Caenorhabditis elegans: one gene and its partner. The protein of the gene in region 2 interacts with the protein of the main gene of each other region in a pairwise test. Each region holds a gene or a part of one and is shown on either strand. Other genes may lie near its edges.

Region 1 (5,502 bases), on a different chromosome or scaffold from region 2:
TGATTTTTTACTTTTTCTTGTGATTTAAAAAAAATATATATTAATTAACCAACATTTTTCACGTCTTCACTTAAAATTGACAATTTCCCGAACGCAGCGGCCGCTTCATTTCGAACATTCGGATTTTTCGCTTCGAGTAGAGGGTCAAGCTGAAGAAGACGAGCCGACGTGTCGGCGCTCATCGGAAACTGAAAATTTTCAATTTTTCCGGCTTATTTGAGAGAAAAAACAGCGAAAAATGCATTTAAATCCAAAAATCCAAAAAAAAATGGGAGACACCACGCATTCCAGGGAACAAAAATCCTGAGGAAAACTTTAGAAACCCGAGTTTATAGCAGGATTATTCAGGATTATTCAAGATTTCGAGCTTCACATTATACATTATAATAATTATTGATTTAACAATAAGAAGAAAACTAAATTTTGTAGGCAAACCTGATGGGAAACACGCGCGGTTTTCACGATTCGACTTCCGTGCAATTTGTAGTGACTCGAGGAAAACGCGCTCTCCTGGACAAAAACGGCGGTACTTTCAAATATAGTTTTTTCGAGTTTTCGCTTACTTTTCGCGTTTTTTTCGCAGAACTTTTCATGATGATCCGCTTTCAAAATATGAAACCTGAAATGACAACGAGAAAATCTGCTATCCAATTTTATTAAAATACAATGTGGGGGGTGAGAAAAGATACAAAAAGAAAAACGCGGGATTACAGTTCAGTTGCCGGTGCGAAATAATAGAGAAATGATTCTTTTTGGGGGGGGGGGGGGGGGAGAGGGGCAGTAGACTTTTGGAAGATTGATCAGTGAGAGAGAGAGAAATGGGAGAGCTGGATAACAGAAGAAAGAGGGGGAACAGGGGATATCAATACATAATTTATTGGATTTGAATTCCAGACAGCTCAATGTCTCCAGAGATCTGAAGCCCGGCAATGTCGTGTGGATCGGCGCGGTGAGCGAACGAGATGTAGCGTTCTCCGTTGACGAACACCTGGAACGCGTACTCCTCGTTTTGGATGACCAAGTCGAAGCCGACTCCCTTCTCGAATGGGTTCTTTCCCTCGCGCTCCTCATTTCCCCATTCGTTGGCGGCAAGAGAGTTGCGGATGACGTGCTGGAAGAAAGGAAATAAAGAATTTGGTCAAATTTCTATTGAAATCGATTTTTTTTTGTCCTTTCACCAATTTTACCAATAGAAATAGACACATGCAAAACTTTTGTGTCTCATAAAATTGTTTGTTGAAGAGCGCCATATTTGCCCAAATGTAGCAAACAAAATGCGGGTCTTTTTGTGTATGTGTGTGTGAGGCACCACAGAAAGGAGAACAGGTGAACAAGGAGAACACAGAAACCACACCCATTTTTCCGTGCCGCAAGTTTTCCGCAAATTTTGAGGCACCACGTTTTCAGGATCTGGGGCACCGTGCCAACTGCGGTTTTTGCAGTTTTCTCTCGCTGAAAAACGAAACAACGATACTCCGATATGACGCGTCGCGTGTTGTTTAGCGTTCAGAATAATGTTTTTTTGAAATAAAAACTTTTGGAAAACGCTAAACAACACGCATAACATCGGAGCATCGTTGTTTCGTTTTTCATCGAGAGAAAACTGCAAAAACCGCAGTTGGTACGGTTCCAGATCCTGAAAATGTGGTGCCTCTCGCGGCACGGAAAAATGGACGTGGTTCCTGTTCTCCTTTGTCGTGGTTCTCCTTTCTGTGGTGCCTCGTGGCATATATCAACCCTTACCTTCTCATCGAAACGTGGGTTGAAGTGGAACGAGATGTCTCCATTCTTGCGGAGAAGGTTGACGTGGAAGCGCTTGGCCTTCTTCTCAACGGTTCCAAAGACGAGGAGGCTCTTTCCGACTGGAAGTCCGTTGGCGAGTCCGCTCTCGTATGGTACTGGGTAGTACTTTCCTCCCCAGTGAACGTGGTTCAAGTAGAGATCTCCGTCAATCGAGAGGTGAGAGATTGAGGAGAGTGGCAGACGGTGCTCGTAGTCCTTGAACTCCTTGTGGTCGACGATGATCTGGAAGCGATCGTCGTGAGCACGGATGCGAATGTCGAACGAGTCTCCCTTCTTGATTGGGTTCGACTTGCGCTCTTCCTTTCCCCATTCTCCATTCGAGAACGAGTTGAGCACAATTTTGCCCTCATCGAAGCGGACAGAGACGTGGAGTGGCACATCGTTTCCGGAGAAATCCGCGGTCTTCGAGTGAAGGTTGATGGTGAAGCGTTGCGACTCGTCGATCGTCGATCCCTTGACGATGAGCGTCTGTCCGGGCTCGAACTTCTCCTGGAGCACTGAGCGGTATGGTACTGGCTGAAAAATTTAAAAATTTTAATTTTTTAAAAAATTAATTGGATTATTACGGGAACACATTTTTCTGATAATGCGTACTGCACAACATATTTGACGCGCAAAATATCTCGTAGCGAAAACTACAGTAACTCCTTAAATGCCTACTGTAGCGCTTGTGAAATGCCGTAAATCGACACACAAGCGCTACAGTAGTCATGTAATGAACAATGAACTACTGTAGTTTTCGCTACGAGATATTTTGCGCGTCAAATATGTCGCGCGATACGCATTCTCAGAATTTTGTGTTTCGGTAATAGATTTATAAGTAGAGTTTTCTAGAACCATTTCTTCTTCCATATGCCATTTTAAAATGTTCAGTAGGGTAATCATGTAGAAATATATGCTGGGGGGGGGGGGGGACCTCGCGTGTCACACACTGGTGAACAGAATAAGCGAGCAAGAAGCGAGACCCGAAAAAGCGGAAGAGCTGTTATCCAATCTGCATCCACCAATCTTCGCGCTCCCCAGACTTTCATACAGCTGACGACGACAAAAAATGCCTTTTCTACATTGTCTAGTTGCTTTCTATTTTTTAGCTCCATTTTGCTCCATTTTGCACAAAATTTTGTTGTGATGTGCCGCCGAGCAAACACACCAGAAATATGGCGGGAATCTCGAATGTTGATAATGGAACCGAAGGTGTGGGCGAGCAGATAACGAGAGGAATGTGTCACTTTAGTGGCAACCAACAAACTTGGAATGCTCTCCATTTTCGAGCTGGTGTCAGAATGTCCCATGTCAGTTTGATCTCCGAAAAGTTGCAGGAGAAAAAATTCCCGCTTTTTTTTGTAGATCAAACATGGGACAGCCTGACACCCCCATGTATAGAGGCATGCTTTACCTTGTTCTGCTCGTACCAGCGAAGGAATTGAGGAGTGGAAGACATTAGTGTAAAGAGTTGAGCTGAGGAAAACTGAAAGCGATCGTTCAGGACGCGAGTCAAACGAAGAACTGACGACCGGTAAACAGTTTCAACAAAAGCTGAGAGTGTGAGAGGAGAGAGAAACCAGACAGTTGAACAGTCATAACATTCGCAAGCGCCGCCCAATATTGAGTCAGAGAGAGCATGGAATTATGGGAGGGTGACAGCATGTGCGCGAGGCGACATTGAAATGTTTCTTTTTGTGCATCTGTCTGTGTCTCCGACTTCTCGTACAGTCTCTCGCATACGACTTCTCGCCATGATTCATCGTGTCGTTGTAGGCGAAGAAAACAGTGAAATTGAAAAAAGGAACGGAACTTTCTGGAGAGGAAGAGATCGATAATGAGTGTTGGTACAGTTTTCAGCTCGAAATTTTTTTTGTATGATTTGTTGAAACTCAAACAACAAAAGTTTTCGGAGCAAAATCCATGCTCAATATTTGCGTCTTCGCATTACTGTTTACCGCATTTCGAGTCTGGGCGTCACGTGCAAACTTCAACTTCAAAGGCTCGAAATGCACTTCAAAAACCAGGGGGTGGGCGGCAAACGATTTTTTTCCGGCAAATCGGCAAATTGCCGGAATTGAAATTTCCGGCAAATCGGAAAATTGCCGGAATTGAAATTTGCGGAAAATCGGAAAATTGCCGGAATTGAAATTTCCGGCAAACCGGCAATTGCCGCCCACCCCTGCTTCAAACGTTGAAAAGGTGTTGCACAACTAGGGCCAAGGCGAGAAAAAATGTGGCATTGATCTTAGGCAGGTTCTCATGGTGTACTAGTGTTTTGTCCAAATTGCCAAATTGCCAAACTGCCATTTGTTGTTCTATATTCGAGAAAAAGGAGGTTACTACTCGTCGGAAGATTTTCAAGAAGGCACAAGACATCGAAGAGAAAGGACATTCATGATGAGACACGGCTTAACATAGAAGACTGCAGAAGCAATTTGAAATTCGAGTGGTAAGCATCTTAAAGATCAACTGGAAATTGTTTCAAGCTGGAAAAAAGAGATTAAAAATGCCTTTTGAGCTTTTGATGGAAACATTTTGGTCTCACTTTAGCTGAAGACGTTTCTAAATTCGAAGCTTTTCAACCTGATTCTGTAGAATTGCTGCAAACTGGACGTTATGCAAAAATCGTTTCTTTAAAATTGTTCACTTAACGATCAATCATCAGTGTCAAGAACTACAATTTCGAAATCAACTATCAACAAATATATTTTTTGCGGCGTCTGATCTTCCTTCTGATTCAACACGTAGTAGTAGTAGTCCAAACATCGGTGGTGAACTATAGAGGTGACACTTACAGAAACGGGCAAATTCTCCAAAAGTTTCTGTCCTTTCTTTTTCATTATTTCTTACGCTTGACTGGGGCCGCCGCCGCACTTTCATCACCCCCGTACTGATACGGTTTTTTTTCTATTCTTTTCTTTTTTGTTGTTGTTACAACACCGTTAGAAACGAAACTCACGTAGGACTTTGGCTCTTCGGCGGACATTTTTTGCTGGTGGTGGCTTTTCGGTGGTTCCTGAAATTAAAATTGAATTTTAAAAACATGATTATTTAGAAGAAGAAGATGAAAAAGCGAGAAAATTTCCGACGACGACGACGACAATGGCAATAAAAGTGTGGTCTCTGGGCGCAATAGAGAGAGAGAGAGAGAAGGGCAGGAGAGACGCAGCATTTCGTAAATAAAGTCCGAGAGACAACAGACGTGTAAACAAGAGACAAAAGAGCACAGAACGTGTGTGAGAGATGCAGGAAAATTTTGTGTGTGTGTGTGAGAAATGACGCTCTCTCTCTCTCTGAAGAAGAAGAAGAAGAAGAAACCATGGTGATAAAATTGTGAGAAAATATGGGAGGGGAGAAGAGATTTGTTTATGATGAGGTGGTGACACATTTATGATTGAATTTGAATACATATTCTTTCTAGGCTTTTATGAGGTACTGTATATAGGCGGTTTATGTCAATATTTGAGCAAGAATTTCAAAATTTTTCTTAAAGGTTCTAAAGTTAATTAGAATTTAAAAAAGTTCAATTTAAAAATTTGTGAGTGGGCGACAAACGAGTTTTTTCCGGCAAATCGGCAAATTGTCGGAATTTGAAAGTTCCGGCAAATCGGCCAGCCGGCAAATCGCAGAATTTGCCGGAATACCAAAAATGAAAATTTCCGGCAAATCGGCAAAGTGCCGGAATGACAATTTCCGGCCAATCGGCAAATCGGC
Region 2 (6,760 bases):
GAAAATTTGAAATTAGATTGTCCATTAGCACCCTTAAATACATAGTTGAATTATGAATTGAACATGGTGCATCGACATTTTTTGAAAAAACAAAATTTTCCTTTTTCAATTCACGGACCCGATGCACCATGTTTTACGCGCAAATTATGTTGCGATGGAAACAGTACTTTATTCCACAACCTCAAATTTAAAAAATTGCAATAGTTAAGCCCGTTTTCGGAAAAAAATAGTTTTCAATTTCTCTGAAACGTCAAATTATAAAATTTCTCGACTACTTAGCAAAAACTATTCTGTACGCTGGACAAAATGCAAAATTCAAATGACAAAGCACTAGGATTTTGAGTTTCCAAAAGGCTGTAACTGAACATATTACTCAAAAATTGCAGTTTTACGGGGAATTTTCGAGATTGTAGATCAGTTAACAACTTAAAAAAGATAGTGTAGGCCACAAAAGATTATCCCATTCCACCCTTTAAACCCTTTTACTTTTCCAGAAAAACGTATACAACGAGGAATTTGTGACCCCTGCAAAACTCCGTTATCTCCGTGATGATCTGGAAGCCGCCGAGGAGCATCTGAAAAAGTTGCTTGAAACCTCCCATTGACGCGTTTGATCGAAACGGATTCTGTACATACCTTCCAAATTGTTATTTTTTGTGCTGTGAAGAAATGAAAATAAAATATATTGCTTTTTTCGCAAATCGAATCGGTTTTATTTGAGAAATTTATTTTTAATGGAATGGTGGTTTGGCACTGGAATGTAGAGAGACAATTGACTAGAGTTTAGTTAAGAATTTAAGTAAAACAAATAATTTAAAATCGAGTAATAATGAAATTATCGTCGTCTTCGGATTCTGAATCTGATGGGATCATTGCGGCTGCTGAAGGTGGTGGAAGCATGATGAAAGCGTCATTAATCTGAAAATAGTGGGAATTTGAATAATTTTTTGAAAATTAACAAGTGCCAGGAAATAGGACAACTACTGAAGGCTCCCCAGTTAATGATATTTGGTACAAAATCTATTTAGAAATATCTGCTAGGGTATGCAACCTGCCTCGTAGGAAATCTTAACCTATTAGCACTATTTTTGCTCATTACTTGGTTTGATCGATCGTTTGCTTAAAAATGTCTGCACGTACCTATGACAGAAAATTGTATTGAGAGCCCACTTATACATTTTGCTCAGTCTCAGAGAGAAACTTGGGTACGTGCGGACCCATGACCCACCATTCCAAAGAAAAATTTTGTCTAAAGAATTTCTCGAATTTCTTGCTTCTCTAAATCTATTTCTACTGGAAATTCGCAAGTAGTCAGCTGCTTCTTTTTGTTTTCGATCACCTTGTGATCCTATGAATGGCAGTTCCAATCAACAAAAGTACTTTCTCGGAAAAATTGGAAACTAGGGGTAATTAGCAAACTATTTCAAATTCCAATAAGCTTATCTTGGCGATTGATCTTTTATCACTACTAGTTACCTTGTCTTTTGTCGCTTCCACCCGATCTTCTTGTTCATCATTTATTTTTGTATCTCCCACCACTTGAAACTCCTCCCCAATCACGTTTTCGCCCTTTATCTCCTCTTCGACATTTTCTTCTTCTTCTTCTTTTAACGGTTCCGTTGAGACCTGCGAAGAAAAACAAATGAAGAAGAACATTGGTGATTGTTGACTTTTTGATGTTTGTATCGGTTTCATTTAAATAGATTTATATTTGTTCTAGAGGGGAGAGAATAAATTATAGAATCAGGTCAAAGGGTAGCGGAACTGATTTGCTTTCGAAAATGTGAGAATAACTGTGAAAATCGTGAGTACGACTAGATCCAAGTAATTGGAGCAAATATCGTTTAGGTTCAGGAGCACCCGTTCTTGAAACTTTTGCCCCCCCCCCCTCTCATTCAGATTCACAAATATCTATTTTATGGTGACTCATCAAATGGTCAGAAATATGATTCAAAAGTTGAAAGTAATACTTTAATTCCGTAATTCCTCTCTTAATGTTGCACCTACATAACTGATCTTGTGGATCACACAAGAAAGCTTACCGTCTTTCTGCTCCTCGGCTTTGGCACGGGCGGTACAAACTCTTCTTCAACTTCCCGATCCCTTTTCAGAACTTCCACATCATCATCCTCCCCAACCGTCGACAGAATACTTGACACAGTATCTGCATTTGATCTTGACGAGGTAGTGGAAACATCCGTGTTCCCAGATGAAGACGTCATTCTTCCGATGGACATTGGCATTGTTGCTGACTTGATCCTCTTATCATATAAGAACCTGGCAATTGCAGGAGGTACTCCACTTTCGTCACTTGAGCGGAGGTCTAGCGCATTTTGCTTTGTCAAGGCTCTTCCATTGATTAATACTGTACCAGGAGCTTCGGGAGCATCAAAGCTTGGAGCTTCATATGAGGGAGGTGGTCGGTTGGGAGGCATACTCACAGGCCGAGCGGAGAACGCAGGAATAAATCCTGGAGCTTGGAATGTTGGAGAGGAGAGGTCTGGAGGGAGGCTTGGAGCTTTTGGAGCCGGTCCTTTTTTCTTCCGAAGTCTAATTGTCTCTGGAGCTACCCCCAACTCATACTTCTCCACCAAATGCTTCATAAAAGCCCGATCTTTTTCTAGTGCAAGCGTCGGATAACCCGATTCGTCAGTACTGATTGTGGATAATTGATCCCTATCGAGATCATCCAGGTCATCCAACCAATCGTCAAGCTCATCCAAGATCTTTCTCCCTTGAACGGATGTGCTCCGAATAGTTGACATATAATTCGAGTCATCCGGCGGACTCGCCGGACTCAATATCGGTGTCTCCTCCTGATTCTTCGGGATTGCCAAAGGCCGATGCAACGGAGAAAGTGTATTGAGAGGTGGTGTACTTTTAACAATTGGAATGCAATCATCGAGACCGAAACTAAAAGCACCACCAAGATCACCCGGTCTTTCGATCACCAGAGAGTTAGGCTTCGGTGCAACGATTCGGTCGGCGGTTTGGATTTTTGGAGGTGGAGCTATGTGTGTTGAGATATTCGAAGTGTGGGAGATTGACCTGAAAATTGAAAAATTTTTAAACTTCAGGGTCCAATCAAGAAATACCGAAAAACTACAGGTTGCTCTGAGATTTCTGATGTTTCCTCCTCGTCGTCTTGGGCGTTGAAGATCAAATTCGGCTTGCTGTTCCTGAAAGTTTAATTCTCAACCAACTTTTGATTCAGTTGTCAAATTTGAAAGCGCCAGTAAGAAACTTAATTCTAAAGGAAGTACTTCTTGGAATTGAGGTAAAAAACTAATTCAAAAACTGTGTTGTTAGAAAATGTCATACAAATACTCACTGTGGAGGAGGAGTAGGGGGAGCTGGAGCCTTATAATTTTTCTTGCTCGGACGTGGTGGAGCAATATTTATGTATTGGTGGGATGTTGGTTGATTCTCGTAACCTCTGACAACTTCAACCTCTTCTTCACTTTTTGAAGCTGATGGGAAAGCATCATCTAGTCCAACTCTCTGAAAAGTTGAACTTTTTTGGAGAAAAGTAATTAAATAGTTCCCTACATCTTTTTCTTTTCTCTGCGATCGGAGTGTACTATTCGACGAGGAGGGTCTTATGTAGTAGCTGCTGAATTCTTTATTCATCCACATTGAATTCAAGTAATGCTTGTAGATCACAAACCTTTCATTAACCGTATCAATCACATTATCGCTCGTCCGAAGATTTTCAATTTCCGATGATCCCATTGGACCGACATGAGCCAAATGCCTGTAATATAAAAATTGACTATGATAGATTGTTTAAAACCTAAAACACAATGAGTAAAACTAATACGAATGTAACTAATTCGTCTCCGAATCTACTAATTGTAAGAAACTAATTCGTATGAAAATTGTAAGTTTTAGACGTATGGAGGCACGGGAGAGTACAGAGAAGCTGAGTGTCTTAACTCTCCTCCTCTCATATCTTTTTAAACAATTAAAATGGCGAATTGCGAAAAAATTGAGAATTTAAAAAATTTCAGGTAACGTGATTTGTATTATTTTATTTTATTTTTTACGACAATAGCCCATAGTGTAAGATTTAACGCTTGGTACCTATAATATATAACAATGTTTTATCAATTGTTGCTAGTCCACGTGTGATTAGGTACTACATAACAATTTTAAACTTAATATTCATAGTTGACATGTATGCTAGTTTTGCATTATTGTTTCTATCACTGATTATTTTCATGACTGAATTGTTGGCGGTTCCAGCTGTGTCAGCTAAATTACCTAGCAAAATGGTAAGTTTTGTTTCCAAGGTTTCTGATTTCTAAAACTTGGAATTTCAGTCTATGGATGTCAATATGATAATAAAAGAATGTTGTAATGAGATAAGTGTAGAGTGTTGTAAGCCTAATATTTTTGAATAAACTGTTCATGTTTCTAAATGTTCCTCATTTCTAAATGTTATATCAATTAAAAAAAGCACAATCAGCACAATCAATCAGCTATTGGCTAAATCTTGATGAAAGTTATTACACTGTAAAAATGGGTTGGTTAGAGAGTGTGGGGGAGGGGAGAGTGCAAGAACTCCGCTTCTTTCTCGGGCCTAAAACGTCGACATGTCATAATCCCGCTTGAAGCTAACCTACTAATGTTCTTCAAGAACGAATTTGCAGATACATTCCAATTCGAATGTACGGATTAACATAACATCCTCAACTTTTATTCCTTACCTGAAATCCGACGGCAGTGAGATCATAGTTTTATCCAAGTGTTTGTGCTGATTCTTCGGAGGCAGCAACGGCAAGTCGTTGGGCATTTTCCATAAACCCGGTTCCTGTCTTAAATCAAGAATAAAGTAACAAGAGGCAAAAAAAATCAATGGTCAAACCACGCAAGTTGTTGCAAAAACTGTGGAGAACAGACACCCGGAGTAACTGAGAGAGAAAGGGGAATAGAGAAATAACCGATAAAAACGTGTAAGCAGTTGGAAAAAGAGTAGTGATAAGGAATTATTGAGAAGGAGGTGATGTGTTGAAAGAATGATTCATTTGGAATTGGAAGCCAAGAAGTTTGAAGCTCCAATGACACCCGTGCTCAAGCTCCGCCCAAAGACGCTTGTAAGGAATCTTGAGTTTTGTAGCATGGCGGAATATTGAAGCGTCGTTCGATGGCTCCAAAATTTTGACCACTTTCAGGTACTGCATAAAATCAATTGAAAAATGTTAAAATTCAGATTAACATAGAAAAATCTAGCATAGAAACTACCTTTCAAATATTTCAAAAAGTGTTATCAATTTCTAGCAAATAGCAAATTGTTCTTGCTGATCTCCCATAGATTACTCAGATCAAATTGACAAGAGACGCAGCATGTTGAAGTGAAAAAAGAAAACATGTGTCGATCTGATGAGTAATCTCTTGAGGCTAAAAACCGGGTTACGGAAGGGTATTATGTATATGTATACTCTAGTGTTTGACTGCAAGTCGGACGATATTTCGCAATTTGTTTAACATTGATTTACGAAACCTTTGATGTTTTTAATGTATTACCGAAGATTTACTAGGATTATTTTTGTTTCGTAAAGAATTTAAAATGTGTTGTCATATTTGAAATAATGTTTTAAGCAACTTTGTTCATCATCAAAATTTAAAAAATTCCAAATATTAGTAGTAGTTTATTTGTTTTAATGTATAATATAAAAATCTTTAAAAAATATTCTTCTATTACATATCATCCAAAATTCCGATAGTCCGTCTCAAAATCTCCTGAGCTTTGTGTTCCCTTTCGTCAGCTCCACTTTTCAAATCCAAACTCTCATCCTTATACATTTTGTAGTAATACGACAGACTGAATAGTGACGTGGCATTCACAAAATTGAAGTGAGTTCGATAGGATTCTTCGAGTTGGGAGAAAGTGAAGGGAGCCGTGGAAAAATGAGATTTGAAGGTCGTATAGTAGTGGTTCAGGTATCTGGAAAATGGAAACTGACTCTTTGTTTTGAAATGTGTTTTATATCTCCGAACCCGATTTTCAAATCTCGGCCAAAAAGCGGGCCATTTCAATTTTTACTTCTTTCGGTTATTGAAAATGTTTAGACTTAGAAAAAGATACCTTTGAGTATTTGCTCTTCGATTTTCCACTGACAATCCAAGGCACAAAATACGAATAATATCAAAGGAGACGGGACCCTTTGACACGTGCTGGAAATCGATAAATGCCTGGATCTGAAATTATTCAATTTTATTATTAGGAGTAATTTTATATTCTATGACACGTAGTCCTCTTGGACAACTCTACCTTTCCAGTTTCATTATTCCATAGAACATTTGACGCGTTCAAATCATTATGACATATCACCAATGGCATTCCAAGTTTTTCGTTTTTCTTTTCGGAATTTCTAACTCCATCTTCATCAAAAGCATGCTTAACTTCTTGAATTCTTCCGGAGAGCTCCGCCGGGCATAACTTTTCAAAATCAAGGGTGTCGTTGTGCTGGAATTTTGATTCTGAAGCGTGAGAAAGAGCCGCTCTGGTTTTCAGGTAAGCAAAACACCATACACCATATTTACGGGTTGTTGTGAAAAGTCAATTTCCAATAAGTTCCAAAAATATTCGGCCACCAATTTTCGCGGCCATCAAAGAGATGTGCCCAATTTTAAATTCGAAATTTGAAAAGATGTGCCCAGATTGCAATCGATTGCAATATACTCTTTTTTTTTTATTTCTTACTATACCTAGGGCTTCACTGGCAGACAGGCACATTTTCAGGCCTATTTGAATATC

What was found.
Region 1: the proteins of F09F7.5 (region 2) and lec-1 interact in a two-hybrid assay, tested with the Caenorhabditis elegans proteins (2 studies listed by BioGRID).

The regions. Positions count from the first base shown.
Region 1 is NC_003280.10:13,194,851-13,200,352, reverse strand, and holds lec-1 (Galectin), read right to left. Parts: upstream 3,408-5,502; 5' UTR 3,245-3,407; coding exon 3,200-3,244; intron 2,320-3,199; coding exon 1,744-2,319; intron 1,112-1,743; coding exon 875-1,111; 3' UTR 640-874; downstream 1-639. Other genes in the region: btf-1 (BTAF (TBP-associated factor) homolog), read right to left, coding at 54-182. UniProt on the Caenorhabditis elegans protein: Binds galactose.
Region 2 is NC_003281.10:5,545,167-5,551,926, reverse strand, and holds F09F7.5 (CRIB domain-containing protein), read right to left. Parts: upstream 4,818-6,760; 5' UTR 4,796-4,817; coding exon 4,710-4,795; intron 3,755-4,709; coding exon 3,668-3,754; intron 3,614-3,667; coding exon 3,550-3,613; intron 3,502-3,549; coding exon 3,332-3,501; intron 3,180-3,331; coding exon 3,096-3,179; intron 3,049-3,095; coding exon 2,043-3,048; intron 1,627-2,042; coding exon 1,477-1,626; intron 919-1,476; coding exon 814-918; 3' UTR 712-813; downstream 1-711. Other genes in the region: F09F7.6 (Ferritin), read left to right, coding at 495-605; putative kinase-like protein D1044.1, read right to left, coding at 5,701-5,947, 6,089-6,201, 6,275-6,469.